Anolis sagrei: one gene and its partners. The protein of the gene in region 1 binds, or shares a complex with, the protein of each later gene. Links are inferred from orthologs where the notes say so. Each region holds a gene or a part of one and is shown on either strand. Other genes may lie near its edges. The genes, in order: calpain-2 catalytic subunit, CAST and calpain small subunit 1.

Region 1 (10,306 bases):
AAATTGAGGATTGGAACATAACTCCTGGTAAGGGAAGAAATAAGAAATATTTTATTTAAAGATGCAGACAATCTGCTTCTTGACATTAAGTCCAGTTGTGTCCGACTTTGGGGGTTGGTACTCATGCACAGTGAAATATTATGGTATAAGCTTGCAGGTATAAGTGGATGTATACCCTTGCATCTATAAAAAGCTAAAGGTTTCTCCTTGACATTAAATCCAGTTGTGTCCGACTCTAGGGAGTGGTGCTCATCTCCGTTTCTAAGCCAAAGAGTTACATTGTCCATAGCTACCTCCGAGGCCATGTGGCTGGCATGACTGCATGGAGCACCATTACCTTCCTGCCGGAGTGGTACCTATTGATCTACTCACATTTGCATGTTTTCGAACTGTTAGGTTGGCAGAAGCTGGGGCTATCAATGGGAGCTCACCCTGTCCATGGATTCAAACTGCCAACCTTCTGGTCAGCAAGTTCTACAGCTTTGCAATTGAACCCGCTGTGCCACCACGGTCCCCTTCAACTGGATATTTCTCTGTAATTGTTATGGTGGCAAATATTGTTTGAAAGGAAGAAACAAGGGGCCCTCTTTCGAGATACTCCATTCCAGTCTCCCACCCAAAAGTCAGTTATCATTCTATAGTTACTAAACATAACTCTTCTTATTTAGCTGGACAGATTCCTCCTTTCGTTTTCAAGACCTTGGCAAAGTTACTGTTTGGACTACTCAAGTCACAATGATAATTTCTCTTTACATTTGGAGGTGCTATTTTGCTACAAAGGCCTGGACATCAAAAAGAGAAAGGATGATTGCGGATCCACATGATTTTGCTTTGACACAACTTGTCTTTGTGTGTGTGTGTGTGTGTGTGTGTGGGGGGGGGGGGGTTGGCTGTCAGTCTTCTGAACTGTTAGAAACTCTGGCAGATTTTTTAACATTTCCTCATATGAAATGTGAATATTTTGCCCTTATGTGAGGCATGAAGTAAACTTTGTACTGACTGAGCCCAGCTCCTTGAATAAACAGTAGTCTCTACTTTTCTCAACTGCCTCTGCATCTTCAAAGAGTGTATTGATGCAGTTTTGGCTGCTTGGCTGACTTCTGCTCTCAAGCATGTGTATATTTCCATGTTCTGATGGAAGCATCACTATGCCAGAGCATTCTGAAAGCCATAGTCTCAAAAGCACCCAATGTGTCCCTTATTCTGTTTAAAAATTGCTGGGAATACTAAATAAAATACTTCCATCTGTTCCAAATAACACAACATCAGATAGGAAATAAGCGCCTTTTGCTTTATAATTAAAAGTTTGAAGCATATAAATAGCTGTATTTGTCTTTATTCTGGAAACCATATATACTAATTAGATGTGTCAAACAATCTCTAGAAGAGCATGGATGCTAGTATAGGAAGCCTTAGAGCCCTTCCACACAGCCATATAACCCCAAATATCAAAGCAGAAAATCCCACAATATGTCTGTTTTGAGCTGGGTTATCTGAGTCCACACGGCCATATATTCCAGTTCAAAGCAGAAAATGTGGGATATTATTCAGCTGTGTGGAATGGGCTTTAATGGGCAGAAAAGCAACTAGTAAGATTTTTAAACAAATAATAATAATAATAATTACATAAGTGGAAACCTCTAGCTCCTTGAATATTGTTGGACCATTGTTTTTCAGTATTTACTATACTGGATACGGCAATTGGGAGTTTGAGTCTAGTAGCATCTGGAGAGTTATATAAATATCAGATTTTTAAATCTGTAAGATTAGCTTGTTATCTCTAAATTATTATGTGGACAGATAAGAATCTTTACTGATTGACCTTTCCTGTTTTAGGCCTTTTAAACTTTTCCTGTTCAAAGCAAGTTGAGTATTTTATGATGGCTGGGTAGCTGCAAGTGGTCAAGCTGGAAAAACATCTTTAACGCTTGCTAACATATCCTGGTTCCAAAACATCTTGCAGAAGTCACTTCTATACATTAATAAGCACTGATATAGGGCATATTTCACCATTCCAGTGCACTGCCAAAGCTAGTTAGGGATTATGGTGTTTGTAATCCAAGACATTTTGATGTTCCTGCTTCTTGGCAGGGGGGGTTGGACAGGATGGTCCATGAGGTCACTTCCAACTCTATGATTCTACTCCATATTGACCTGGAGAGTGGTGGTTCAAAAAGTAACATTCCCCGATTCTGTAATACCTGTAGTACACAAATGAATAGTCTTCAAGCCTTCTAGATTAGTCCCACTGTGTTGTGTGTCATGTGTGTGGTGTCTGTATATGTGTGTATAGACAGATAGATAGATGGATAGATAGATGGATAGATACATAGTTTGAATACTGAAAAATAAATGTAATAGTGAGGGAACTTGATAGGCACAGAAACAAACAAATAAACAATGGGTATTTAATAGGCAAGACAGTGTGATCTACAGACAATCCACAAGTTACAAACATCCTACTTACAAACGACTCATAGTTAAGAATGGAGGTGAAACAACAGGAAATAAGATAAATCTACCCCTAAGAAGGGAACTTGACTCCTGAAAGAATTAAAAATAAAAGTAAAGGTTTTCCCTGACATGAAGTCTAGTCGTGTTCGACTGGGAGGTGGTGCTCAACTCCATTTCTAAGCTGAAGACCCAGAGTTGTCCGTAGACGCCTCCAAGGTCATGTGGCCAGCATGACTGCATGGAGCGCCCTTCTCTTCCCTCAGAAGTGGTACCTATTGATCTACTCACATTTGCATGTTTTCAAACTGCTAGGTTGGCAGAAGTTGGCAGAAGCTGGGCCTAACAGCGGGAGCTTACCCTGCTCCCCAGATTCGAAATGCCAAACTTTCGGTCAGTAAGTTCAGCAGCTCAGTGGTTTAACTCGCTGGGCCACCAGGGGAAATTATCATAGGAAAAAGGCGTCTCCACTGAAACGCTATCACCAACCCTTGATTCCACAAGTCCAATTTTTCAAGATCCAGTCATCAAAGGGACAGAAAGTGAGGTGAAATCTTCTAAACAGGGAGGCAGACAGCAAAACAAACACCACAGGGATGTTAAACCTTCCCTATGCAATCCAAAGCTAAAATGTATGTATATTTTTGGCTGGAGATACACTTTTAAAAAATTACCTGTTACGAATTACATACAAATTCAACTTATGAACAAACCTACAAAACATAACTTGGTCGCAACTTGAGGACTGCCTGGAGTGCTTTGTGCACTAAAAACTACAATTTCCTCTCCCATTTGGCCATGGAAATCCACAAAGTGACTTGGAGCAGGTCACACACTCTCAGCCTCATAAGTTGCCATAAGTCAGAAGTGGCTTGAAGACAATTCCTAACAGTCGCAGGCTCTTTAGGAATGGTGGGAGTTGAAGTCCAAAACACCTGGAGTGTGAGCCCAAGTTTACGCGGTTGAGCGGGAAAAGGAAGGGGCCTGAGGCTGTTAGGAATGGTGGGAGTTGAAGTCCAAAACACCTGGAGGGAGGGCCCAAGCTTAAGTGACTGAGGGGGGAAAAGGAAGGGGCCTGAGGCTATTAGGGAGGGTGGGAAGTCCAAAACACCTGGAGGGAGGGCCCAACCTTAAGTGGCTGAGGGGAAAAAAGAAGGGGCCTGAGGCTGTTAGGAATGGTGGGAGTTGAAGTCCAAAACACCTGAAGGGAGGGCTCAAGTTTGCCCATTCCTGGTAGGATTAATACCATTTGAAATGCCATGGCTCAATGCTATATTTTCACCAGGTCTTTAGGAGCCCCGAAGACCGACAGGTTGTAGGTTCGAATTTGGGGATAGGGCGGATGAGCTCCCTCTGTCAGCTCCGCCTCCTCTTGCGGGGACATGAGAGAAGCCTCCCACAAGGATGGTAAAAGATCAGAGCATCAGGGCGTCTCCTGGGCAACGTCCTTGCAGACGGCCAATTCTCTCACACCAGAAGCGACTTGCAGTTTCTCAAGTCACTCCTGACACGAAGAAACAAAACAAAACAAACATGTAGTCTACTCGAGTTCTTTATCCTTCTCTGCGGAAGAGGGCTGGTGCCTCTCCAAACTCCATCTCCCAGGATCCCACAGAATGGAGGTGTGCCCCCAAAAGTTTCCTTCCCGGCCCCTTCCCTCCCTTGCTCCCTCCTACCGTGGGCCTCTTCCAGACGATGCCCTTGGTCTTGGCGGAGTGGGGTCCCAGCTCCTTGAAGCCCAGGGCGGGGGGCCCGGCGGGGAAGGAGGGGTCCTGGAAGAGCTTCCCGGCCTCCAGGCACTCGTCCCTGAGCGCCCCGAAGTCCTGCCGGAGGTACTTGACCGCCTTCTGGTTGGAGCCCAGCCCTTGGGCCACCGCCCGGTCTTTGGCCACTTTCGCTGCGATCCCAGACATGATGGTGGCTCGCCCCGGCCGAAGGAGGAATGCCCGCCCTCAGCTGCAACTCCTCTGCCAAGTGTCCAGAGAGAAGAATCCCTCCCAGCCGGATGGTGATTCATCGCAACGAGGGGAAATCTCCTCGCCTGGGGCGGGGAGGTGCCCTCACGGATGCCTTCACACTGGAGAGTTAATGCGGTTTGATGCCGCTTGAACTGCCCTGGCGCAATGCTGTGGAATTATCCTGGAGACTTTAGGGCAGGCATGGGCGAACTTTGGCCCTGCAGGTGTTTTGGACTTCAATTCCCAAAGCCTCTTAGGAATTGTGGGATTATTGGGATATTGTGTCCAATTCTGGGCACCACAATTGACAAGAGATATTGACAAGCTGGAATGTGTCCAGAGGAGGGCGACTAAAATGATCAAGGGTCTGGAGAACAAGCCCTATGAGGAGCGGCTTAAGGAGCTGGGCATGTTTAGCCTGAAGAAGAGAAGGCTGAGAGGAGACATGACAGCCATATATAAATATGTGAGGGGAAGTCATAGGGAGGAGGGAGCAAGCTTGTTTTCTGCTGCCCTGGAGACTAGGACACAGAACAATGGCTTCAAGCTACCAGAAAGGAGATTCCATCTGAACATTGGGAAGAACTTCCTGACTGTGAGAGCTGTTCAGCAGGGGAACTCTCTGCCTCGGAGTATAGTGGAGGCTCCTTCTTTGGAGGCTTTTAAACAAAGGCTGGATGGCCATCTGTCGAGGGTGCTTTGAATGTAATTTTCCTGATCTTGGTAGGAACTCCAAGAAGCAGATTCTGAGTTGAAGTCCAAAACACCTCCAGGGCCGAAATTGGCCCATGCTTGCTTTAAGGTCTTCAGCCTTCTCAGGCAAAAAGGGATAGTGCCTCACAGAACAATGGTTTTCCCCTCACATTAAGTCCAGTCATGTCCAACTGGGGGTGGTGCTCATCCCCATTTCTAAGCCAAAGAGCCAGCATTGTCTGTAGACACCTCCAAGGTCATGTGGCCAGCATGACTGCATGGAGTGCTGTTCCCTTTCCGCCGGAGCAGTACCTATTGAGCTACTCATATTTGCATGTTTTTGAACTGCTTGGTTGCAAGAAGCTGGGGCTGACAGCGGAAGCTCATGCCGCTCCCCAGATTCGAACCTGCGACCTTTTGGTCAACGAGCTCAGCAGCTCAGCGGTTTAACCCACTGCACCACTGGGGGGTCAGCTATGGCAAACTGTGAAAGTAATGTAATTTGACCTCTACTATAGCTGCTATGGAATTTTGAAAGTTGTAGTTATGCAAGGTTTTTAGCCATCCCTGCCAAAGAGTGCTGCTGTGCTTCCCCAAACTATCAATCCCATGATTCCATAGCATTGAGCCATGGCAGATTAAAGGTACACCATGCAGTTTGACACCACTTAACTGCCATGGCTCAATGCTATGGATGTCCCACCTTGGAGTTTAAGATCATCCAGGGAGGCCCTGCTCTCGGTCCCGCCTTTGTCGCAAATGCGTTTGGCAGGGATGAGAGACAGGGCCTTCTTGGTGGTGGCTCCCCGCTCTTGGAACATGCTTCCTAGTGAAGTTAGGTCAGCTCCATCTCTCCTTTCCTTTAGGAAGAAGCTGAAGTCATGGTTCTGGGACCAGGCATTTGGGTATCAGGGTCAACCTCATAACCTCTGAGGATGCCTGCCATATATGCAGGTGAAACATCAGGAGAGAATGCTTCTAGAACATGACCATATAGTCCAAAAAACCTACAACAACCCAGTGATTCCGGCCATGAAAGCCTTCAACAATATACTTACATATTTTCAAATCTTGGTGTTCCAGTATATTTACATGGGGAAAAAAAGGTTCTTTTGGAGTTTTTTCAGGCTATTTATTATATGTTTTCATATACTGTAGATAAGAGATACATGGACTTTCCCCTCAGGCAGTAACACAGTAACACAAGTGCAATGTCTGGGCACTTCTATGTCACTACAACCCCTTCTACACTGCCATATAATCCAGATTATCAAATCGGATAATCCATACTATTTTTGAACTGGATTATATGAGTCTATACTGCCATATAATCCAGTTCAAAGCAGATAAGATGGATGTTATATGACAGTGTATAATGGGCTTACATTTCATAACATTATGTATAAAGCATGTTGTGTGTTAGTTAGCATTTGAGTCATATAGAATTCTTATTTTTATTTTTCCTTCTTGGACCAAGGTAGGTAACTTTCTCCTTTTTAAAAAAACTGGACTTTCTGCATTCTGGGAATAGATGGAATAACTATGAAGAAAAAATGTGAGTGGAGGAATAGAAGGATTTGGATAGCCACCATGTGGACAGCCCAAAAAAGTGAATGCAGAAAGTAAGAATCGGAAATAAATGAGTGAAATTTATGGAAGGCATCCCACAAGGAGTAATGTAACTTCCTTGTTTGAAAGCTTTACTTACCTATTTGTAAGCAGATATACTATCCCATTACTGCCATGTTTTCATTTCATTTCCCAGTAGTCTGAGAGCTGTGGCAGGTAGGAAAATGCTTAACAAATAGTTTTAATGAATAAATAATATCAGAAATCTTTAACTTTTAGGGCAGCCACAAAAGGCAAAGCTCAGCTTTCTTTGAATGCTGCTGGAAGTTGATGGGGTTGGCACCCATTTGGTTAGAATCTCTGTCCATCTTTCCAATGAGTATATTTAATGTACATGTGTCAAATCCAAGGTTTGTGGGCTTCCATGTCATTTTATGTGGCCTTCCAGATGCTGGACTACAATTCCTGTTTTTCACATCATTAGACACGATGACCACGGCTGATGGGAGTTGTGATACAGTACAGTCACAATGGGGTCAACCCTTGTGCTGCTGAATTGCTGACCTGAAGGTTGGCAGTTTGAATCTGCGAGACAGGGTGAGCTCGTGCTGTTAGCCCTAGCTCCTGCCAACCTAGCAGTTCAAAAACATGCAAATGTGGGTAGGTCACTAGGTAATGCCTCAGCAGGAAGAAAAACAGGTACTCTGTACAGTCATGCCGGCTACATGACCAGGAGGTGTCCATGGACAATGCAGGCTCCTCGGCTTGGAAATGGAAATGAACACCTCTCTCAGAGCCAGAGATGAGTACTGCCTCCAGAGCTGGAAATGAAAGGAGAAGCCTTTGTCTTTGTGTATTTGTGTTTCATTGTATGCCTTTGTAACAAGGCATTGCATGTTTGCCTGTGTCTGTTTATATGCTGTAATCCGCTCTGAATTCCCTCAAGGAGAAGGACAGAATATAAATAAAGTGCTATTGTTATTATTTGAAACACAACAAGATGAGTCCACAGCAAAAAAGATCACTCTGCTGGCTGTTGTATTGGATCACACTTCGGAAACTTCCCAAGTGTCTAGGACTGTGTGATGTATCGGTGAATAATGCATGCAGATCCCAGTAGGGTGGCCTTTTGCAGCTGGCAGATGGTTATCTTGACAGCGCCGATTGTATTTAAGTGCAGGCCAAGGTCTTTAGGCACTGCATCCAGTGTGCCGATCACTGGGATCACCATTATTATTATTTATTATTTATTACTTATTATTATTATTTTGAAGGCTGCAGTTTGTCTTGTTTAGTCAGGATAGTTGGGTCTGAATTCAGATACAAGGCTTGTTGATGTGATGTCTGACTTTAAAATGTCCTTTAACCTTCTCCCAACCTCAGAGAAATAAGTCCTGTTGTTTTGCAATTCTCATTATCCCCAGTTCACATTGACGATAATAAAAACTGATGGGAGTTGTAATTCAGTAACATCTGGGGACCCAAACTGAGTAAAACCTAAAGAGCACAGACTAATAGATAGATAGATAGATAGATAGATAGATAGATAGATAGATAGAGAGAGAGAGAGAGAGAGAGAGAGTTGGCCCTTTGTATCCATAGATTCTCTGTCCGTTGATTCAATAACCCTTTGAAGGTTGAATTGGCCCTCAGTGAAAATGAGTTTGACACCCCTGGTTTCGTGCATTGGTTTGTTGTTACTTACTGTCTGTGGGAGATCTGAATATTTTTTCTCCTGTAGCCCTTTTTTTGGAGAAAAGATGCAAAGGTCATTCCGCCTTCCACAGTAATTATACCATTGTGCTGAAATTTCCTGTGAACTCCAGAAATATCTGAAATCCAGAAATAACAACCTGCAACCTTCTCTTGCAGGTGTGTGGTTGCAGAAGGACTAGAGAGATTTAAAACACAGCATTCCATATATTCCTGCAACAAAATAATGCCATTTTACTTGTGCTGTAAGTACATAATAGCACTGCTTTATAGTTTTGTAACAACAACATCTTGAGCTCTGACGCTGTGGAGGAGGAGATCACGACCTTATACCCACACTGTCCTCTGGCACCGTGAGCTGTACTCAAAGCAAGGGAAGGGAAGGGAAGGGAAGGGAAGGGAGGGGCCACCAAATTCCAATGTTACATTTTTTTCTCCGTACTCATGAAGTTGTTTCAAGTCATTTTTTCCATGTGATTGCAATATTCCTAGCAATTTCAGCTGCCAAATACTCTCAAAATAGAGAGACTAACTGTTCTGAAGCTTCTAAAATAAGTGATAATGTTGAGAACAGGATATAGGCAAATTATAAACTTTCGTTTTTAGAAATTGAGCCCAGAGATGGGAGAAAATGGTCCCCAGCTTTTTTTAAAAAAAAGACAGAGATCTGTCTCTTGTAGATTTTAAGAAAGTAGTCTGTATGGAACTCCCATCATCAACACTTTGCATTTTATTCCCTTTGAAATTACTCTTGCGCGAGTCCTTATTCTACACTGATTCCAAGTAATAAGAATTGGGAAAGATAAGAACAGTTTTAGACATTACAAACAGGCAATGCCACCTCACTCTGCAAACTTTCCCACCCTTCCAGCAGCATGTATTTCTCATGTTAAGGTAGACAGGGCATGTCGCATTAGATTTTACTACCAGTTCATATCATTAGAACAGGATGGCTTGAACAATATTCATTGAGACTCTAATAACTATTATTGAGTTGATACAAGTATTTTTATTGGTCAAACATTGTATTTTAAATTGGTTTGTGGTTTCTTTGTTAGCTTTTTTTTTAGGGCCAGGCTTAGCACAGTAGGCTAAACAGAAAAAAAAATCCTGCCAATCAGAAAGTCAGTAGTTTGAGCCTGGGTTGGGGTGAGCACCAGCTGTTAGTCCCAGCTCACCTGCCCACCTAGCAGGTCGAAAGCAGAAATGTGAGTAGATAAAATAGGTAGCACTTTTAGCAGGGAGGTAATAAAGGTGCCCTAAAGGAAATAAATCAGAGAAAAGCTCCTCGACATGGAAGATGGAGTGACAGCACACACACCCCAGCATAGCTGGAGTCTAACACAGCCTCAAAGATGCCAGAAATGAGATGGGAAAACTGCCTTTACCTCTGTTTGTGTTGTGTTTGTGTTGTCTGTTCTTGTTAATTGTATAATCTGCATTGAATGTTTGCTGTATGTGTGTTCCGTAAGCCATCCTGAGTCCCCTTCAGGGTCAGAAGGGCGGGGTATATATCTTGTAAATAAATAAATATTGATTTTAATTAACATGCATTAAAACATTTGACACATTTTGACAGAAATCTATTTTAGAGTGAATGATACTCCAGCCCTTCTGCCCAGCTCCCATTTCCCTCCAGGGAAAATGGTCTTGGTACACTCCCGCAGTTAAAACATAGCAACATTCCACAGTCATCCATCAGTAGACCACACTCCACACATTTACTAGCAATTGCCGGACTGAATGGGAGTTTTAGTCCAGCAAGATCTAGAGGGTCACACATCCATGAGTTCTTCCTCCTTTACTGCAGGAAATTTAGATATGGGTTGTGAAGTGAGAAGTGAGAACCCTTGATGAAACCAGTCAGTCGTACAGATGATGCTGGATAGGTTATGCTCCCCTTAAAGCAGAGCTTTCCAAAT
Region 2 (10,443 bases), on another chromosome or scaffold:
TTTGGAAACTGAAGGGGATGGAAGCAGAAGAGCTGTTGTGCCTTCAAGGCCCTGTAAAGTTCTGGTGACATAAACTTTTAAGGGCATCAGCTAGTTATTAAAGCAGCTGTCAGAATCGTGCATCTCTGCAAAAGCGGCTGCACTGGAACTGTAAACAGCGCAGTCAATGGTAAAGAAAGCTACTGACTTCAGTCACAGTTACACTTGGAAACAGCACAATTCCACTTCCTATTTTCAAGTAACTGCTGGGATTTAGAAGAAAAGACTGCAGACTATTCCCACCCCTCTGAAACACATTAGAAATTAATCATGGGTCCACTTCTATTGTCACAACCATAGCTCTAGTGCAGAGGTTGGTACTGCACAGCATTCCAGATATTGTTTGGATTGAAGCTCCCATCAGCTTACACCAACAGACCGAATGGTGAAGGATTAAAAGAATTGCAAACACGGTTGGTGAGAACGAGAGACAGGGCCTTCTCGGCAGTGGCCCCCCATCTACGGAACTCTCTCCTCGGGGACATCAGGTTGGCCACCTCCCTCCTGTCCTTTAGAAGTCAATTGAAGACATGGCTTTGGGACCAGGCATTTGATTAGTGAATACTGGCAATTGAAAATGTGATATTGAATCTGCCCAGACTTGGATATGGTTTTAACTGGCATGTTTAAGTTACTGTTTTAATGAATTGTATAATATTTTAAATGATTTTCAATGTCTTTAATGTATTTTGGGTTGTTTTACATGTTGATAGCATTGTATGGTGCTTGTGTGAGGCTGCCCTGAGTCCCCTTTTGGGGGAGAAGGGCAGGGTAGAAATGCATGAAATAAATAACATAAATAATAAATGAATTGCGAGAAACAGCATGGTGGAATGGTGCTGGTGTTGGACTAGAACACTGGGACATGAATGTTCGAATGCTCACTTGGCTCTAGAAAACCACTGGGTGACCTTGGTCAAGTGACACACTCTCAGACTCAGAAGAAGGCAAAGGCAAACCTTCTCTGAACAAATCTTGCCAAGAAAACCATGTGATAGATAGACCATAAGCCGCGTTGAGTCCCCACCCATGGGAGAAAAGTGGGATAAAAATGAATAAATAATAATAATAAGTAGGAAATGACTTAAAGGAATGCAACAACAAACCCAGCAATATGCAAAAACTCTGGCACAAGCCTGTAAAAGTGGTCCCAGTGGTGATCGGCACACTGGGTGCAGTGCCTAAAGACCTTGGCCTGCACTTAAAAACAATCAGCGCTAACAAAATTACAATCTGTCAGCTGCAAAAGGCCACCCTTCTTGGATCTGCACGCATTATTTGCCATCCTACTACTTCATCAAGCTAGAGAATGAATCCACTTTAAATCCGGTTTCGGCCTCCTGCAGAATTTTGGGGTTTGTAGTTTAGTGCGGCTGTTAAAGGCTCCTCCCTAGACACTGGAGAAGTGTCCAATGTGTGATCGAATATAAAAGCCAGCATAGCGATCTTGTTTGCTGTGTACTAATCTTGTGTATCAAATTATAATAAATTGGAAATGACCAAGGAATACAACAGCAAGCCCAGCAATGTGTAGAAGACCTCACTGTGATCTGGATATACATATAGTAATCATCACCTATAGTCCTTAAAAGGAAGGTGGGAACTACCATGTTCTTTTTTCCCATTTCATTACGTTCATCTACAGATCCACTTACCAGTGGCCAGACTAGATAGATCGAATGAGAGTTTAAGAAAAACACAAACAAATATAGGACATTTGTAGCTGTCCAGTTGTTGGGCTGTTTGTTTTTTGGACACTGAGTCCCATCAGATCTATTCTAGCCTCATCTTCCAGATACTTGGTGGCACACCCACACTGACCACTTAGGCCACTGTGAAACCAGCCGAGAAGGAAGTGGTTCCAATTTCCAGATGACGACATATGAAGTCCAGCTTTTAAGCCTGGATGGTGCTTATACACATATGCAATGCAGAGGCTGACCTCGAACCAGTTAAAGATCCACAAGATCTATGACTTCACAACTGCGGAGGGCTCTGCCAATCTGTGCTGACTGACAGAGCCCTCAATCGGTTTCGCCATGCAATGCGATGTACACTCAGGCATGCTGAAGTGTGTTAAGGGCTCTATTTCGGAGTATGCTCTGACTTTCCTTATCTCAGGGTGCATCTACGTATGTGCAATCTTGTACATTGTAGATTGAATGCGGTTTGACACATCTTTAACAGCCATAGCTCAGTCTGGGCAATTATAGTTTTCTTGGTTCAAGAATGCTAGCGCCTCCCTAAGTGACCACTCCACAGCATTGAATAACAGCAGTTCAAGTGGAGCCAAACGGCATTCATTGTACAAATCTAGCATGGGCAAACTTGGGCCCTCCAGGTGTTTTGGACTTCAACTCCCACAATTCCTAACAGCCACTTGGCTGTTAGGAATTGTGGGAGTTGAAGTCCAAAACACCTGGAGGGCCCAAGTTTGCCCATGCCTGATATAGATGCATCCTTGATTTAAAGCCCTTGAAGTGAGCTGCAAGGCATGCACCATAAACACTGTACTATCCAGCTGCCTTCAAACTGCATTAAACGGTCATCATAGATGTGGACATCAAGGAGCCGCTGTGGTGCAATGGGTCAAACTGCTGACCTGAAGGTTGGTGGTTTGAATCCACGAGATGGAGTGAGCTTCAATCTGTCAGCCCCAGCTTCCCATCTGGGGACATGAGAGAAGTCTCCCACAGGATGGTAACACATCCGGCTGTCCCCTGGGCAACGTCCATGCAGACAGTCAATTCTCTCACACCAGAAGTGACTTGAAGTATATTCTCTATTTGCTTCTGACACAATAATTAAAAAAATAAATGTGGACTCCCAGAAGCTCCAGCCCAGTTGGAAGATTATCAGGAATTTGGGAGTCCAAGGCACCAGGAGGACAAAACTTTGGAATCTGCGAATTTTTATCCAGGCAGTGGATTTGGTTCAGAGGACATTCAAAATATCTGGAGGGGCCTGAAGTCTGTCACCTCATCCTTTCCACATTCAATCTGGCATGGATAGACATGACACAGGGCCCCATTCCCACATCTTTAGGTGCAGGATTGTAGGAGATGAGAGATTCCACAATGCAGAGCCCTGTACATCCCCAAACCCACCTATAACATGCATTTACCACCTATAACAGCATTTATCAAGCTGGGGGGTTGGGACCCCTGGGGGGTTGTGAAGGGGTATCAAAGGGGACCATAGGAAAACAGTAGTTTCTGTTGGTCATGGGAGTTCTGTGTGGGAAGTTTGGCCCAATTCTATCATTGGTGGGGTTCAAGAGGCTCTTTGATTGTAGGTGAACTATAAATCCCAGCAACTACAACTCCCAAATGTCCAGGTCTGTTTTCCCCAAACTGCACCAGTGTTCACATTTGTGCATATTGAGTATTTTTGCTATGTTTGGTCCAGAGCCATCATTGCTTGAGTCCACAGTGCTCTCTGCATGTAGATAAACTACAACTTCAATAGGTGCCCACCAAACCCTTCCAGTATTTTTTGTCAGTCATGGGAGTTCTGTGTGCCAAGTTTGGTTCAATGTCATCATTGGTGGAGTTCAAAATGCTCTTTGATTGTAGGTGAATTATAAATCCCAGCAACTATAACTCCCAAATGACAAAACCAATCCCTTTCCAACCACACCGGTATTCAAATTTGGGCGTATCGGGTATTTATGCCAAATTTTGTTCAGTGAATATCCTGCATATCAGATATTTACATTACGATTCATAACAGTAGCAAAATTACAGTTATGAAGTAGCAATGAAAATAATTTTATGGTTGGGAGTCGCCACAACATGAGGAACTGTATTAAGAGTTCAGGGCATTAGGAAGGTTGAGAACCACTGACCTATAACATGCATTTAGGGATGCATTTATTACACTGTAAAACAGGCGTGGGCAAACTTCGGCCCTCTGGGTGTTTTGGACTTCAACTCCCACAATTCCTAACAGCTGATACGCTGTTGGAATTGTGGGAGTTGAAGTCCAAAACACCCGGAGGGCCGAAGTTTGCCCATGCCTGCTGTAGAATCAGTTTGACACTACTTGAATTGCCAGGACTCAATGTTATGCAATGTCAATATTCAGTAACAGCTTTATTTATTTATTTAATGACTATATGGTTTGACAATCTTGCTTATATTGTTTTTAATTCAATTTATGGTTTTTAAATTATTGTTATAATTCTTTATATTGTTTGTTTGTTGCGGCATTGAATCGTTGCCGGTGTAAGCCGCCCTGAGTTGAGAAAAGACTGGATAGAAATACTGGAAATGAATAATAATAATAATAATAATAATAATAATAATAATGTATTGCTTTAGATTTACAATCCCAATGTATTGTATGGATAGGAAATAATTAGGCATTAAGACATTTAACTTTCAGGAAAACGTTTTCAAAAAGTTACCTAACTTTGGGGACTTTTGGCCCACCCTGCAGTTTAGGGAGGAAGAAGGGAAAAGAGGAAGACAACTGCCACGATCCTACAGCACTGAGCCAGGGCAGCTCAAGTGGTATCGAAGCGCATTAACTGAGCAGTGCAGGCGCACTCAAGTTCTCTGCCTTGGAGCGCTGCCCGTCCCAGCCCAGCCCAGCGAGTGGGCAGATCTCTGCCTCTGACACAGGCACAAAAGCCTTCAAATCCCCGCAAGAGGAGCCGCGGAGAGCCCCGTCCCTCCCCGCTCGCACTCACCGTCTTGCCAGCCTTGGCGGCGTGTTTCTTTCCCTTCGTGGGCTGCGACATGGTGGCTGCGTGTGCTCCTTCTTCTGGGCCTGCTTAGGGTGCCAAAGGGAGAGGCGGAGGAGGAGGAGGAGGAGGGCAGCGGCGGTGAGGCAGCTTTTCCGACGGAGCCCCCCGTCGCTCCCCTCCAGTGCCCAGGCCAGCTGCGGAGCCACCCAAGTCCCTCCTCTTCCTGCAGAGAGAAACTCCCACCCAGCCCCGCATTCCTGGGGCCCGCCGGGTTTCGTGGGCCGGAGGGAGGAGTGGAAGGGCCAGGAGGACACCCCCAAAGGCGGGCTGGGCACCAGGCTCCTTGTTTGCCAAGACACGCTTGAGACTTAGGCAAACTCCCGGAGCCCTTTTAGGGGAGGTTCCGTTGCCTCTTGTTTGGAGAGAGCTTAAAAGCCCATCTATCACTCAAAACTTTGGGACAGAGCCGAACCGCCTCGCCCTTCGGATTGCTCCTTTGGCCAGCCCGGGCTTTCGGCCTGCTCTCTCTTATCAGGCACAACAAGGTTTCCTCATCATTAGAGCCAGTAATCGTAGATAAAGAGTCTGAACACACAGTCTGAAGCATCAACCTACAAGTCCAAAGCACACAAGTTATTTTTGCTCTATGGCTGTTGTTGTGTGGCTTCCCATAGCCAAGCACTAACTCAGGGTGCAGCTACACCAGGCATGGACAAACTTCGGCTCTCCAGGTGTTTTGGACTTCAACTCCCACCATTCCTATCAGCCGTCTCAGGACCAGGCATGTAGCCGGGCCGGGGGGGGGGGGGGGGCTTGAGGGGCTTCAGCCCCCCCCCCCCCTCCGAAATGCTCATGGTGGTTCGCGAAAAGGCCTTACTGGTGCATTATTTAAACTGTTATGTTTATTCATATAATGATCTGATCACCATGCTCAATATATCCCACATGCATGGGGGGGGGGGGGTATTGGGGTAATGATACAAAAGGTTTGCTAGAATAGACCCTCTTTCAGTCAGACTCAGCCCCCCCGAACCCCTCCCCCTTGAAAAAAACTCAGCCCCCCCCCCCCCCCCCAATCGAAATCCTGGCTACAGGCCTGCTCAGGACCCTTCCTTTTTCCCCTTCAGGCAAAGAAGCAGGTAGTGAAAACAGAAGAATGGCCTGCCTTGAAAGCGTGCTTGTTCCATCAGTGTTTAACATTTACACAAATGATCAGCCACTGCCAGATGGAACAGAGTTTAATCTATGCTGATGATTGTGCCATCACCACCCAAGAAAGGAGCTTTGTAATGGTTGAACAGAAGCTCTCCGAAGCTTTAGGTGCTCTTACTGCCTATTACTGTTGGAGTTCAGCCTGTGATTGTGTCTAATGATCAGGGTAGTCTGGATGTTGGGAATGACAATGAGGTTCTAATGATGAGGTTGCTATTGATGCAGAGAATGACAATGGGATTCCTGTTCAAAGTTAACGATGGCACAAATGTGTAAAAATGGATGGTGACTATGTTGAACGGTCGTTTTGTGTAGAGGACAGTTCAGGCTATGGTCTGTAGCAACCTCTGCTATTATATGTTCATTCATAATGTTTTTATGTCATGGGAGGCAAAACGTTTTGACCCACCCGCGTACTATAAAAGTTAATGCCGGCATTTTGAATTGATTTCCAACACAGACAGGCAACCTGTGCATCTTTTTGAAGACTCTCACAGTGAAAGAACATCTAGAAAAAATATTCCCAAGGCAGTTTACAATAAATATTTTAATGCATTCTGTTATAATTATAAAACAATAACTTAAGCCATAAAAACAATAATTTCCCAATTATTTAATGAGAGCCTAGAGGAATAATAGCAGAAGAGTATTTCCTTCCTGTTGAGAGAGAGAGAGAGCAAGAAAAAAATAAGAGCAAGCAAGACTGCCGTATATATTTAAGTATAAGCTGGATATTTCAGCTCTTTTTTTAGGCTGAAAAAGCCCCCCTCGGCTTATACTCGAGTAAATGTTATTTATGATTTTACTCTGTTGTTGTTATTTTACTCTTTATTATTATTATTATTATTATATTGAATTTCTTATTTTATTCTATTATTATTATTACATTTATTATTTTACTGTATTTTACTGTTTTTATTACATTTCCATTATTTTACTGTATTACTGTTATTTTTATTACATTTATTATTTATATTATTATTATTGGAAGGATACATAAGCACATTTACATTTAAGAAGAAGAATGGTTTAATCAGAGCTGGACAGTCTTATCTTAAATTACAGTTTTATGTAAATATTCAAAAACATTTAACCTGCTGATGCCTCAATTAATGTAATTTTATTGGTCTCTATTTTTATTTTGAAATTTACCAGTAGCTGCTGCATTTCCCAGACTCAGCTTATAACCGAGTCAATACGTTTCCCCAATTTTCTTTGGTAAAACTAGGTGTCTCGGCTTATATTTGAATCGACTTATACTCGAGTATATATGGTATATCGATCTCTTGAAGAATTATACCCGATACCTGTAATAATAACAACCAAAACAACACAGAACAACAAATCATAATACAAAAACAAAAGGATTTGGGCCATTAACTGGAAAAGATTTTCACAAATTTGCCTACAAATGTAACTGTTGAATTTGAATTAGAGACTTGAAACCTGTAGCTCATGCTCTTAAGTACTGCACTGATTAACTGGTATACAGTGAAGAAATGTAGAGAAGGCAATAGAAGAAAAGGTGTGCCTTACTTGAAACAGATGACTTGTATTTTTGTGTGTATTTCAATTTTAAGCAATGCCTGAATCTCACCAATCAACTGGTCTAACTAGACTATACTGCATTCCTAAGGGTTCAATGCACAGGATACTAGTCCTTACTATAAAGGCTGCAAAAATGTGGAAAGGAAGGCTTCATTCTCCTCAATAAGAATAATGAAATAAAATGGAGAAAAGCTTTCAGGATTCCCTGGACAGTCTTATCTTAAATGACAGAGCAGTGGTTCTCAACCTTCCTAATGCTGTGACCTCTTAATACAGTTCCTCATGTTGTGGTGACCCCCAACCATAAAATTATTTTCATTGCTACTTCATAACTGTAATTTTGCTACTATTATGAAATGTAATGTAAATATCTGATATGCAGGATGTATTTTCATTCACTGGACCAAATTTGGCACAAATACCCAATACATTCAAATTTGGATATTGATGGGGTTGGCAGGGATTGATTTTGTCATTTGGGAGTTATAGTTGCTGGGATTTATAGTTAACCTACAATAAAAGAGCATTCTGAACACTACCAATGATGGAATTGAACCAAACTTGGCATACGGAGTTCTCACTGCCAACAGAAAATACTGGTAGGGTTTGGTGGATATTGACCTTGAATTTTGGAGTTGTAGTTCACCTGAATCCAGAGAGCAGTGTGGATGCAAACAATGATGGGTCTGGTCCAAACTTGGCACAAATACTCAATATGTCCAAATGTGAACACTGGTGGAGTTTGGAGAAAATAGACCTTGACATTTGGGAGTTGTAGTTGCTGGGATTTATAGTTCACCTACAATCAAAGAGCATTCTGCACCCCACCAACAATAGAATTGGGCCAAAATTCCCACATAGAACTCCCATAACCAACAGAAAATACTGTGTTTTCTGATGGTCTTTAGCGATCCCTCTGACACCCCCTCGCAATCCCCCCAGGGGTCCCGAGCCCCAGGTTGAGAAACGCTGCCTTAGAGCCACTGGTTTCTAGACCAGAAAAGTAGTCTTTTTGCTCTCAAGCAAGTATGCCAAATGTCCATTCTCAATGAAGATTTATTTATTTATTTACTTACTTACTTACTTATTTATTTATTTACCTTACTTATATACCGCTGTTCTCAGGCCGAAGGCGACTCACAGCGGTTCACAACAAATATGAACAAATATACACTTGTATACCGCTCTTCTCAGCCCTCAGGCGACTCAGAGCGGTTAACAACCAATTCAACAGTACAAAACAGATCATTAGTCAATTAAAACAGCAATATCAATTAATTAACATCAAAACATCAATACAACAATAAACACTAGATTTCTTCTAGTGCAGTAGTTCCCAGCCTTTGGTCCTTCACTTGTTTTGGACTTCAACTCTCAGATATCCCAGCCAGCTTACCAGCTGTTAGGAACTGTGGAAGCTGAAGTCCAAAAAACCTTGAGGACCAAAGGTTGGGAATCATTATTCTAGTGGAAACTATATTTTTTATCTCCAGTAACTGAAAAAATGTTTGAAATTAAATATGTTTCAGAAGGTTGGCCATTTGTGTTTGGTCCAACAAAACAAGAAGCCCCTTGTATACCTTTAAGAATAATACTATAATTCCATATCCTCCAGTTTTTCATAGATGAAAACTAAGACATATGTGGCCGAGAAACATCACAGTGTGTTTATGATGACAAAGGTTGCAGCGGTTTGCTTTTGCCTGAATCCACTGGGAAGGGCAAGATTCTTCCCCTTCCTTCTCTTTTCCCTGTAAATTGACTGAATGTGAACTACTTTTGGATTTGAAACTCAGTTTTTAGCAATCAAAGTAAGCTGAAGATAAAGGAGGAGAGCAGAATGAGATAAAAAAATCTAGGATGTTTTAGAAGCAGCTGAAAAGGGGAGACAGATAATTGGGATTGTCCATGCTAGATTAGGACAGTTGGAGAATCTATCCAATTCCCTGTGACATACATATGTAAAAGTAAGCCTTGTTGCCACATTTAAGTGCCATGAGTATATAGAACCACTGTGTTATTTTAATATAAACCTTTGTGGACTAGAGACAGATGCACACAAACACAAGTAGAGGAAGGGAGGATAAAATGAGGACAAATGGCAGTAAAATTCAAATCCTAATTATTTAAGATTATAATAAAAATGAGGTGAGGCAAACTGGATGCTTACATTTAAGTACAGACTTAAGTCTGGTGTTTATTTGAGGATGAAATTCTTAGTTGTCTAAATGTCAGAACTGTTCTTTCACTTCAGACAAAACCAACTCAGGAATAGCTATAGAAGCCAGGTCAAGATAATCCAAGGATTTAAAACCAGGTGGTCCCCATGGGAAGCACATGTCCAGGCAGGGACAATTCCAAATGCAAGGTCACCCAGCAGGAAATGCAAGGGCATCCTGTGTAGATGAAATGTACATTCTCAGCTGAAATGCAGGTATTATTCTAGTAACCACTCCCAGCACAGGCCTGTGGTTTAATACAACCTGAGTTCCCAAACTCCCAACAAGAGCAATGCTGCAGGCGACTGCAAGCTATCAGGCATAAGTAGCACATGAGGAATGGTGCCAGATCTCCTGGGATGAATTCCATCTTGCATGCCATCAATCAATAGTACTATATTAAGACGGTCATCTTGTGGTGCATCTACACTGTTGAATTAATGCAGTTAGGCACCACTTTAACTATGAAATTATAGGATTTGTAATTTGAGGAGGCACTGGTACTCTTGGGCAGAAGAAAGCTAAAGACCTTGTAAAACTGCAACTTCCAAGAAGTTGCTATCTTGGACATACATGCAACCGTGTTTTAGGGTACAGATTTGTGATCCAATACCTTCTAAAACTGTAACTAAATGTAAACATTGTTATGGATAATACCCTTTATCTTGCAGATTAGGAACAGAGTGTGATATGCATTACCTGCCTTCTACTCCAGTTTCCTATAAGGAATGGGTA
Region 3 (10,868 bases), on another chromosome or scaffold:
AGGACCAAGAAGCAACAGTCAGAACTGACCACGGAACAACAGACTGGTTCAAGATTGGGAAAGGCGTCCGGCAAGGCTGCATACTCTCACCCAACCTTTTTAACTTGTATGCAGAACACATCATGCGATGTGCGGGGCTGGATGAATGCAAACCTGGGGTGAAAATTGCTGGAAGAAACATTAACAACCTCAGATATGCAGATGACACCACTCTGATGGCCGAAAGCGAGGAGGAGCTGAGGAGCCTTCTCATCAAGGTGAAAGAAGAAAGCGCAAAAGCCGGGTTGCAGCTAAACATAAAAAAAACCAAGATTATGGCAACAAGAATGATTGACAACTGGAAAATAGAGGGAGAAACCGTGGAGGCCGTGACAGACTTTGTATTTCTAGGTGCAAAGATTACTGCAGATGCAGACTGTGGCCAGGAAATCAGAAGACGCTTACTTCTTGGGAGGAGAGCAATGTCCAGTCTCGATAAAATAGTGAAGAGTAGAGACATCAGACTGGCAACAAAGATCCGCCTAGTCAAAGCCATGGTATTCCCTGTAGTCACCTACGGATGTGAGAGCTGGACCTTCGGGAAGGCTGAGCGAAGGAAGATCGATGCTTTTGAGCTGTGGTGCTGGAGGAAAGTGCTGAGAGTGCCTTGGACTGCGAGAAGATCCAACCAGTCCATCCTCCAGGAAATAAAGCCCGACTGCTCACTGGAGGGAAAGATACTGGAGACAAAGTTGAAGTACTTTGGCCACATCATGAGGAGACAGGAAAGCCTAGAGAAGACAATTATGCTGGGGAAAGTGGAAGGCAAAAGGAAGAGGGGGCGACCAAGGGCAAGATGGATGGATGGCATCCTTGAAGTGACTGGACTGACCTTGAGGGAGCTGGGGGTGGTAACGGCCGACAGGGAGCTCTGGCGTAGGCTGGTCCATGAGGTCACGAAGAGTCGGAGACGACTGAACGAATGAACAACAACAATTATACTCTATTATATTTTAAGAAATATTATAAATAATATCTAATATATTATTAGTATAACATGATATTAGTATTCTATATTATACTGTATTATATTTTAAGTAATATTATAAATAATATCTAATATATTATTAGTATAGCATGATATTAGCATTATATATTATACTATATTATACAATATATTTTTAGTACAGCATAATATTAGTATTTTATATTATACTATATTGTAAGTAGTATTATAGATAATATCTAATACATTTTTAGTATAGCATAATATTAGTATTATATATTATACTGTATTATATTTTAAGTAATATTATAAATAATATGTAATATATTATTAGTATAACATGATATTACTATTATATATTATACTGTATTATACAATATATTTTAGTACAGCATAATATTAGTATTAAATATTATACTGTATTATTTTATAAGTAGTATTATAGATAATATCTAATACATTATTACTCTATTTATCACTATTTATTATTTACAGCATTTATATTCCGTAACGTTAGTATATAATATTATATTATATACTAATGTAATATTGGTATATTATATATAATACTATTATGTTATAAAATATAATCTATTATATAATATATACAATATATTCCATAATATTAGTATAATATTCCATAATATCAGTATAGCACAATATTAGTATTATCTATTATACAGTATTATATTATTAGTACTATAAATAATATCTAATATATTATTAGTATAGCATAATATTAGTATTATACATTATACTGTATTATAAGTAATATTATAAATAATATCTAATATATTATTAGTATAACATGATATTAATATTATATATTATACCGTATTATTTTATAGGTAGTATTATAGCTAATATCTAATATATTATTAGTATTGTTGTTGTTGTTCATTCGTTCAGTCGTCTCCGACTCTTCGTGACCTCATGGACCAGTCCATGCCAGAGCTCCCTGTCGGCCGTCACCACCCGCAGCCCCTTCCAGGTCAGTCCAGTCACTTCAAGGATGCCATCCATCCATCTTGCCCTTGGTTGGCCCCTCTTCCTTTTGCCTTCCACTTTCCCCAGCATCATTCCCTTCTCTAGGCTTGGCTGTCTCCTCATGATGTGGCCAAAGGACTTCCACTTTGTCTCTCGTCTCCTTCCCTCCAGTGAGCAGCCGGGCTTTCTTTCCTGGAGGATGGACTGGTTGGATCTTCTCGCAGTCCAAGGCACTCTCAGCACTTTCCTCCATCACCACAGCTCAAAAGCATCTCTCGTCCTTCGCTCAGCCTTCCCTCAGGTCCAGCTCTCACCTCCATAGGTGACTACAGGGAAGACCATGGCTTGGACTAGGCAATGGATCTTGGTTGCCAGTCTGATGTCTCTACTCTTGACTATTTTATCGAGATTGGACATTGCTCTCCTTCCCAAGAAGGAAGCATCTCCTGATTTCCTGGCCACAGTCTGCATCTGCACTCATCTTTGCGCCTAGAATATTATTAGTATAGCATAATATTAGTATTATATATTACACTGTATTATATTATAAGTAGTGTTATAGATAATATCTAATACATTATTAGTATAGCATAATATTAGTATTATATATTTTACTGTTTTATATTATAAGTAGTATTATAAATAATATCTACTATATTATTAGTATAACATGATATTAGTATTATATATTATACTGTATTATAAGTAGTATTATAAATATCTAAGATATTATTAGTAAAACATAATTTTAATATTGTATGTTATACTGTATTATATTATAAGTAGTTTTATAGATAATATCTAATATATTATTAGTATACCATAATATTAGTATTATACATTATACTGTATTATAAGTAATATTATGAATAATATCTAATATATTATTAGTATAACATGATATTAATATTATAGATTATACTGTATTATAAGTAGTGTTATAAATATCTAAAATACTATTAGTAAAACATAATTTTAGTATTGTATATTATACTGTATTATATTATATTATAGATAATATGTAACATTAGTATAGCATAACATTAGTATTACATATTATTGCGTTATATTATTACATTGCAATATTATTAGTAATATTATATCTATTAGTATTATATCGCAATGTTATTCTTTCTATATGTTATATTATGTTGCAATATTATTACATTGCAATATTATTAGTAACATTATATCTATTCGTATTATTACATTACAATGTTATTCTTTCTATATATTATTATATTAGGTTGCAATATTATTAATATTGTATAGCATGTATAATATATTATTATATAATATTATTATTATATATTATGTATATGGATTTGAGGCTTCTCTACCAAAGAATCCCAGGATTCTATGGAACGGAGGCATTGGAAGTTAAACCGGATTCAATCTGCATCAATTCCACAGTGTAGATGCACACACCTCCTGGAGTCATATTTCCTGCAATTGGGTGTGCCTTCCCCTTTCCTTTCTCTGGGGCCTTGACACAGAAGCATTCCTTTGATCTGAATCAGACTGGCCTGGGATTTTTTCTCGGCCTCTGGAGCTGAAGATCCTTTTCATCCCAAACTGGCAAAGCAGGTTCAAAACCAGGAAGAGCTGCAAGAAATATATATATATTTGCAGAAGATCAATGGAGCAAGACCTTTCTCCGCCTTAGATAAACTATGGGGAACAGAGGCTGGGGCCCCTTCTACACTGCCATATACAATGCAGAGTATCTGCATTGAACTGGAGTATTCGGCAGTGTAGACTAGACATGGGCCAATTTATGCCCTCCAGGAGTTTTGGACTTCAACTCTCCATTCCTATTGTAGAACTACAACTCCCAGGATTCAATACTATTGAGCCCTGGGAGTTGAAATAATATATAATTACTAGCTGTCCCCTGCCACGTGTTGCTGTGGCCCAGTCTGTGTATATGTGTTTGTATGTGTATTTATTTGTGTATATGTGTATATATGTGGTTTTGTGCATGCATTGTAATGTATTTCTTACTTTTTGGTTTTTTAAGTCCCTTCTATTGTGTTTTTCAGTGTTTTTATGAGTGATGGTCACTCGTTGGCCTGAGAGGTGTCATGTGTCCAAATTTGGTGTCAAATCATCCAGTGGTTTTTGAGTTACATTAATCCCACAAACAATCATTACATTTTTATTTATATAGATGCCCCCCCCTCTATATATAGAGAGAGGGGGGGGGGCATCTATATAAATATACACACTTTATTTATGTATTTATTTACAGCTTTTATATTCCGCCCTCCTCACCCCGCAGGGGACTCAGGGTGGATTACAGTGTACACATATATGGCAAACATTCAATGCCAATTTTTGACATACAAACATATACAGACATACACAGAGGCTATTTAACTTTTTCTGGCCGCCAGGGAGCTGTCGCTTTCCTCGTCCATCTGCGACGCTGATGAAGCACTTCCGCATTCCCCGCATGTTTCCCCGCTGGAATGCTTTGCTGGAGTCTTCTTTATGGCCTCATAAATCAGTTAATTTAGCCTCCCCACACTTTTAAGGTGGTACCTTATTTTCCTACTTGACAGATGCAACTGTCTTTCGGGTTGCAAAGGTCGACAACAGGCTACACACAATTTGTTGGAAACCCACTCCAACCCGGGCTGGCTTCGAACTCATGACCTTTTGGTCAGAGTGATCTTAATGCAGCTGACACTCAGCCAGCTGCGCCACAATAAAAAAAAAGTTAAATAGCCTCTGTATATGTTCGTATGTCAAAAATTGTCATTGAATGTTTGCCCTATATGTGTACCCTGTAATCCGCCCTGAGTCCCCTGCGGGGTGAGAAGGGCGGAATATAAAAGCTGTAAATAAATTAAATAAATAGTTTTCTCAAGTTTGCTCCAAAGTCTATCTATTTATCTATCTATCTATCTATATTGTGTATGTGTGTGTGTGTATTATATATGTGTGTGTGTGTGTGTATGTGCGTATATTATCTATATAAATGTGTGGGAGTTGAAGTCCAAAACTCCTGGAGAGCCCCAGTTTGTCCATTCCTGTTGTAGAACTACAGCTCCCAGGATTCAATACTATTGAGCCCTGTGATTTGAAATAATATATAATTACTAGCTGTCCCTTGCCACGTGTTGCTGTGGCCCAGTCTGTGTATATGTGTTTTCTGTGTGTATACACATTTTACATATATTATATGTGTGTATGTGTGTATACACATATGCATTTTATTGTTTGCACGGCTCTCCTAACAGCATGAAGCCAAAACATAAAATGCATACAATCCAATGCATAGATCGAACACACGACATCAGAAACAGGGTACGAATATCAATGTATAGAGTTGCAATGCAATGCAGATTCAAAACTCATGATGGGTATCATTGGTACCAAAAACAAAACAAAACCGGCATCAAACTGCATTAATTCTGCAGTGGAGACAGGCTTTGGATTCTGAGGCCTGTTTCCTTTAACTTCAATAGAGATAGGGATCTATTCAAATGTGCATTCTTTGTCCTCTTCCTTTCTCTCTCTCTGCTGAATCATAGCTGGCATCCCCCCCCCCCCCCAGTATTCATTTATGCAAATGATGCAGAGCGTAAATAAGGGAAGGAATTGAGAATTGGAAGAACAAACGGTGCATCTATCAACAGGGTTGAGGAACTGCCAGGGCTCAATGCGAGGGCATCTCTGGAAGTTGCACTTTGCAATCGTTGGCGGAGAAGGTGAACAGCCTTGTCAAACTACAACTCTCAGGGAATGCCGTGACAGTCAAACTACAACTCCCAGGGGTGCCATAAATGTCAAACTATAACTTCGAGGGATACCATAACAAACTAAAACTCCCAGATAAACCATAACACTGAAACAACAACTCCTGGAATGCCGTAACACTCAAACTACAACTCCCGGGATGCCATAAGAATCGAACTACAACTCCCAGGGATGCCATAACAAGCTACAACTCTCAAGGATAACATAACACTAAAACTACAACTCCCGGGATGCCATAACAGTCTAACTACATCTCTCGGGGACACCATAATAGTCAAGGACAACTCCCATGATGCCACAAATGCCAAACCATAACACTTAGGATACCTTAACAGTCAAACGATAACTTTTGGGATGCCATAATAATCACACTACAACTCAGGGATGTCATAAATGCCAAACTACAACTCTTAGGGATGCCATAACAGTCAAACTACATCTCCCAGGGATATCATAAATGCCAAACTACAACTCCTAGGGATGCCATAACAAGCAACAACGCCCAGGGATGCCGTAACAGTCAAACTACAAATCCCAGAAAGTCAAACTCCAACTCCCAGGGATGCCCTAACAGCCAAACTACAAATCCCAGAAAGTCAAACTACAACTCCCAGGGATGCCCTAACAGCCAAACTACAAATCCCAGAAAGCCAACCTCCAACTCCCAGGGATGCCCTAACAGTCAAACTGCAAATCCCAGAAAGTCAAACTACAACTCCCAGGGATGCCCTAAGAGTCAAAGGAATGATAACCGGCGGGCGCTAGGACCGCGCGGGAGCCTGGGGAAGGCTTCCCCTCTGCATTGCCTGCCTGCCTTCCTCTCGGGCGTGGTGGATCCCGCAGCAGTCGATTCCTCGGAAAGGAAGCCAGCCTGCCTGCCCGGAAAGGAAGAAGCAGCAACCAAGAGCCGCTCGGAATCGGGTAAGCGGGGGAAAGGGAAAGATCCCACACCCTTAACCACATTTTCCCTCTCCTCCAGTTGGGATCCATAGATCTCCTAAGGGATCCCCTCCCATGAGAGTAGAAGGAAGGAATCCACTTCCTCTGCTGGGCCCAATTCGAGTCTCCCTTCCCTTATTTTTTTTAAGAGATCATGGGATCTTATTCCTTCCCTTTTATGATTATTTTCATATATATTTTAAAATATAGGGATCCCATTGGGATCCTTTTTTCCCATCCACTTTGGGGCCTCTTGGTGGGATCTTTATTCTCTCCGCCCCCCCTCCCCACACGTTGCTACTTTCCGCTATAAAACTCCGTGCCAAGTTCCTAAGAGATCTTTTCCTCCCTTTTCGCTCAAGATCTAGTGGATCCCACTGGATCCCTTATTCTCTTCCCCCCTCCCCGTTGCTACTTTCCGCTATAAAACTCCATGCCAAGTTCCTAAGAGATCTTTTCCTCCCCTTTCGCTCAAGATCTAGTGGATCCCACTGGATCCCTTATTCTCTTCCCCCCTCCCCGTTGCTACTTTCCACCATAAAACTCCGTGCCAAGTTTCTAAGAGATCTTTTCCTCCCTTTTCACTCAAGATATAGTGGATCCACTGGATCCCTTATTCTCTTCCCCCCTCCCCGTTGCTACTTTCCGCTATAAAACTCCGTGCCAAGTTCCTAAGAGATCTTTTCCTCCCTTTTCGCTCAAGGTCTAGTGGATCCACTGGATCCCCACACGGGGGGGGGGGGTGGTGTCTACTGGATCAAACTTTCAAGAGAGATCTCTGTTCCCCCTCTACTGGTGCCTCCCTTTCACTCCAACTCTTCTGTACCCATATGGGATCAACTGGATCTCCGTGGGTCAACTGGATCCAGTTCCTTTTTTCTAATGGCCAACTGTGTATACCACCCTGAGTCGCCTTCGGGCTGAAATGGGCGGGATAGAAATAATGTAAATAAATAAATAATGAAGCCGGATCTACTGAACCAAGTTTCAAAGAGATCCTCGTACCCCTCTGCTGGTTCCTCCTATTTCGCTCCAGACCTACTGGATCTATATGATCCACAGGATTTCTATTGGGGGGGGGGGTCCACAGCATCCAGTTCTTCTTTTCAATGAAACCCACAGATCAAGTTTCAAAGAGATGTTGCCCCCTTTTGCTCCAGATCCACAGGATCTCAGCAAGATCCACATGATCTTCATGGGATCCACTTCATCTCCATAGGTCAGCTGGATCGAATTCTTTTTTCAATGAAGCCAGAGCTACTGGATCAAGTTTCAAAGATATATTTGCCCCCCTCTACTGGCGCCTCCTTTTTTTTGCCACAGACCTACTTGATCCATATGGGATCTTCTGGATCTCCACGTGGTCCATTGGATCCATTTTAATGAAAACCATGGATCTACTGGAGCAAGTTTCAAAGAGATGTTTTCCCTTCCTTTGCTCCAGCTCCACTGGATCTCCCTGTGATCCACTGGATCTCCACAGGATCAACTGTATACCGTTCTTCTTCTAAGGGATTGCCCTCATGTATTTTTTCCACTGCTTCCGCTCCTCCCTTCCCTTCTGCTTCCTCTTCCTGGATCTTTTTTGATATAACACGCCCATTGAGAGAGATCTTAAAGGGGGCATCTACACTGTAGAGCTAATGCGGTTTTGGCACCGCTTGGGCTGCCATGATTCAAGGCTATGGAATCCAGGGAGTTGTCATTTTGGAATTATTATTGATAGAATTATAATTGTGATCAATAGAATCATTACTAGAATTATTATTATTATTAGCATTATTATTACTCTATTAATAGAATATTATTAGAATTATTATTAATTAATAGAGTTATTACTACCTATACCCAGCTTTCTCTCTCCATTTCGCTGCCTCACCAAACTACAACTCCCAAGATGACATAGCATTACTACATTATGACTTTGGATCACCATAAGCAGGATCTACACATTGCAGAATCGATGCAGATTCATATCCCTTGAATGACCATGAATCAATGCTATGGATCCCTGGGATTTGCAATTTGCACCGTTCTGCAGAAAGGCTCCAGAGGCCTTGCAAAACGACAACTCCCAGGAATCCAGAGCAGTGAGTCAGGGCAGCTCGAGTGGTATCAAACTGCAGTGAGTCCCCCTGGTGAGATAGGACGGAATATAAATAAAGTTTTATTATTGTTGTTGTTGTTGTCCAGTGTGGATGGCTCCTTGGCAGAAAATCCTACAGAGAAAAAACTGCAGATCCCAGTTTTTTCTGCAAAGTTGCCATATAATTTTGGAACGAGGAACTAGCCAAACAGAGAGGAATCTGTTGCCAATAAAAAGCAATTAGGGAATTGCAAGCATCTTACTTCCAAATGCCAAAACCCCCTTTGGGGTAGAATAAAGGGTGCATTTACACTGGTTTCTAATTACGCTTGTTTTTTTCCCAATCGCTAATTAATGCCAGCTTATTATTATTATTATTATTATTATCCCCTTTCCCCCCCTCCCAACCGACTAAACCACCTGTTCCTATTCATTCCTAGTTTTCTGCTTCGATGAACATGTTCCAAAGTAAAGCTCAATGCAAACTGTGTGCAAACAGTTGTGTTTTCTTTGTGTGTGGGAGAGACATTCATTGTAATTACACTGAACGATTTCCTTGTCTTGCAACACTTGTGCTTTGAACACGAGACTCTGAAATTTCACTTATGAGATCCATTTTTATTATTAATAATATTATACTATATATTATTATTATACTGACACCACAGTATGTCACAGTAATATTATTATTATTATTATTATTTATATTACACTATATATTATTATTTATTAGTAGCTTGGGCACAAAATGTATAAGGTTATTATTATTATTATTATTATTATTACACTGACACCACAGTATGTCACAGTAAATGAGATCTATATGCTGGATTTTGTATATTATTATTATTATTATTATTATTTATATTATTATTATTATTAATATTATTATACTATATATTATTATTATTCTGACACCACAATATGTCACATTAAATGAGATCTATATGCTGGATTTTGTATATTATTATTATTATTATTATTATTTATATTATTATTATTATTAATATTATTATACTATATATTATTATTATACTGACACCACAGTATGTCACAATAAACTAGATCTATATGCTGGATTTTGTATATTATTATTATTATTTATATTATTATTATTAATATTATTATACTATATATTATTATTATACTGACACCACAGTATGTCACAATAAACTAGATCTATATGCTGGATTTTGTATATTATTATTATTATTTATATTATTATTATTATTAATATTATTATACTATATATTATTATTATACTGACACCACAGTATGTCACAATAAACTAGATCTATATGCTGGATTTTGTATATTATTATTATTATTTATATTATTATTATTAATATTATTATACTATATATTATTATTATACTGACACCACAGTATGTCACAGTAAATGAGATCTATATGCTGGATTTTTTATATTATTTTTATTATTATTATTATTATTGTTATACTATGTATTATCATTTATATTATTATTAATATTATTATTCATATATTATTATTTATTAGTAGCTTGGGTACAAAATGCATAATGTTATTATTATTATTATTATTTTACTAACACCACAGTATGTCACAGTAAACGAGATCTATATGCTGGATTTTATATATTATTTTTATTATTTATATAATTATTAATAATAATATTATACTATTTATAATAATAATAATTATTATTATTATTATTATTCTGACACCACAGTATGTCACATTAAACTAGATCTATATGCTGGATTTTGTAAATTATTATTATTATTATTTTACTATTATTATTAATATTATACTATATATTATTATTTATATTATTATTTATAATTTCATATATTATTATTATTTATTAGTAGCTTGGGTACAAAATGCATAAGGTTGTGGGTGAACTACAACTCCCGTCATGCCAAGTTAACCCCGAGAAACTCCCATCCGTACTTAAAGTTTGTTACGTTGGGCAAATTTGCACCAGATGCATAACATTGTGTGTGAACTACAATATTTTAAATTTTATCCTGATGCTTTTAGGTTAAGCTGCTTTGAGTCTCCTTTGGGAGAGATAAAGTGGGGTATAAATATAAAATATTATATATATATATATTATATAAA

The links.
Region 2: the proteins of calpain-2 catalytic subunit (region 1) and CAST are in contact, whole or in part, in a crystal structure (PDB 3BOW), measured with the Rattus norvegicus proteins. The link is inferred for Anolis sagrei from reciprocal best matches to the Homo sapiens genes CAPN2 and CAST. Residues at the interface, in NP_058812.1 of Rattus norvegicus: Glu62, Leu63, Ser68, Lys69, Gln99, Gly100, Ala101, Leu102, Gly103, Trp106, Lys161, Asp162, Leu165, Leu166, His169, Ser196, Gly197, Gly198, Thr200, Ser241, Asp243, Ile244, Thr245, Asp249, Ser250, Glu251, Ala252, Val253, Val259, Lys260; in NP_445747.2 of Rattus norvegicus: Glu571, Leu572, Asp573, Ala575, Leu576, Asp577, Glu578, Leu579, Ser580, Ser582, Leu583, Gly584, Gln585, Arg586, Gln587, Pro588, Leu596, Asp597, Asp598, Lys599, Val600, Lys601, Glu602, Lys603, Ile604, Lys605, Ala606, Glu607, His608, Ser609.
Region 3: the proteins of calpain-2 catalytic subunit (region 1) and calpain small subunit 1 are in contact, whole or in part, in a crystal structure (PDB 1KFU), measured with the Homo sapiens proteins. The link is inferred for Anolis sagrei from reciprocal best matches to the Homo sapiens genes CAPN2 and CAPNS1. Residues at the interface, in NP_001739.3 of Homo sapiens: Ala2, Gly3, Ile4, Ala5, Lys7, Leu8, Ala9, Arg12, Glu13, Glu16, Phe60, Arg366, Arg416, Arg417, Arg418, Arg420, Asp494, Ile516, Phe551, Glu575, Lys578, Val581, Asp582, Asp585, Gly588, Ser589, Gly590, Gln641, Leu642, Gln644; in NP_001003962.1 of Homo sapiens: Thr85, His86, Ser88, Asp111, Asp112, Met113, Glu114, Ser116, Thr118, Asp142, Arg145, Ser146, Ala149, Val150, Met151, Asp152, Ser153, Asp154, Thr155, Thr156, Gly157, Gly160, Phe161, Glu163, Asn206, His208, Leu209, Met212, Ile213, Arg215.

What each region holds. Positions count from the first base shown.
Region 1 is NC_090021.1:38,502,653-38,512,958, reverse strand, and holds the start of calpain-2 catalytic subunit, read right to left. Parts: upstream 4,472-10,306; 5' UTR 4,365-4,471; coding exon 4,128-4,364; intron 25-4,127; coding exon 1-24. UniProt on the Homo sapiens protein: Calcium-regulated non-lysosomal thiol-protease which catalyzes limited proteolysis of substrates involved in cytoskeletal remodeling and signal transduction. Proteolytically cleaves MYOC at 'Arg-226'.
Region 2 is NC_090022.1:252,934,249-252,944,691, forward strand, and holds the start of CAST (calpastatin), read right to left. Parts: upstream 5,068-10,443; 5' UTR 4,784-5,067; coding exon 4,733-4,783; intron 1-4,732.
Region 3 is NC_090035.1:78,028,681-78,039,548, forward strand, and holds the start of calpain small subunit 1, read left to right. Parts: upstream 1-6,530; 5' UTR 6,531-6,658; intron 6,659-10,868. UniProt on the Homo sapiens protein: Regulatory subunit of the calcium-regulated non-lysosomal thiol-protease which catalyzes limited proteolysis of substrates involved in cytoskeletal remodeling and signal transduction. Essential for embryonic development.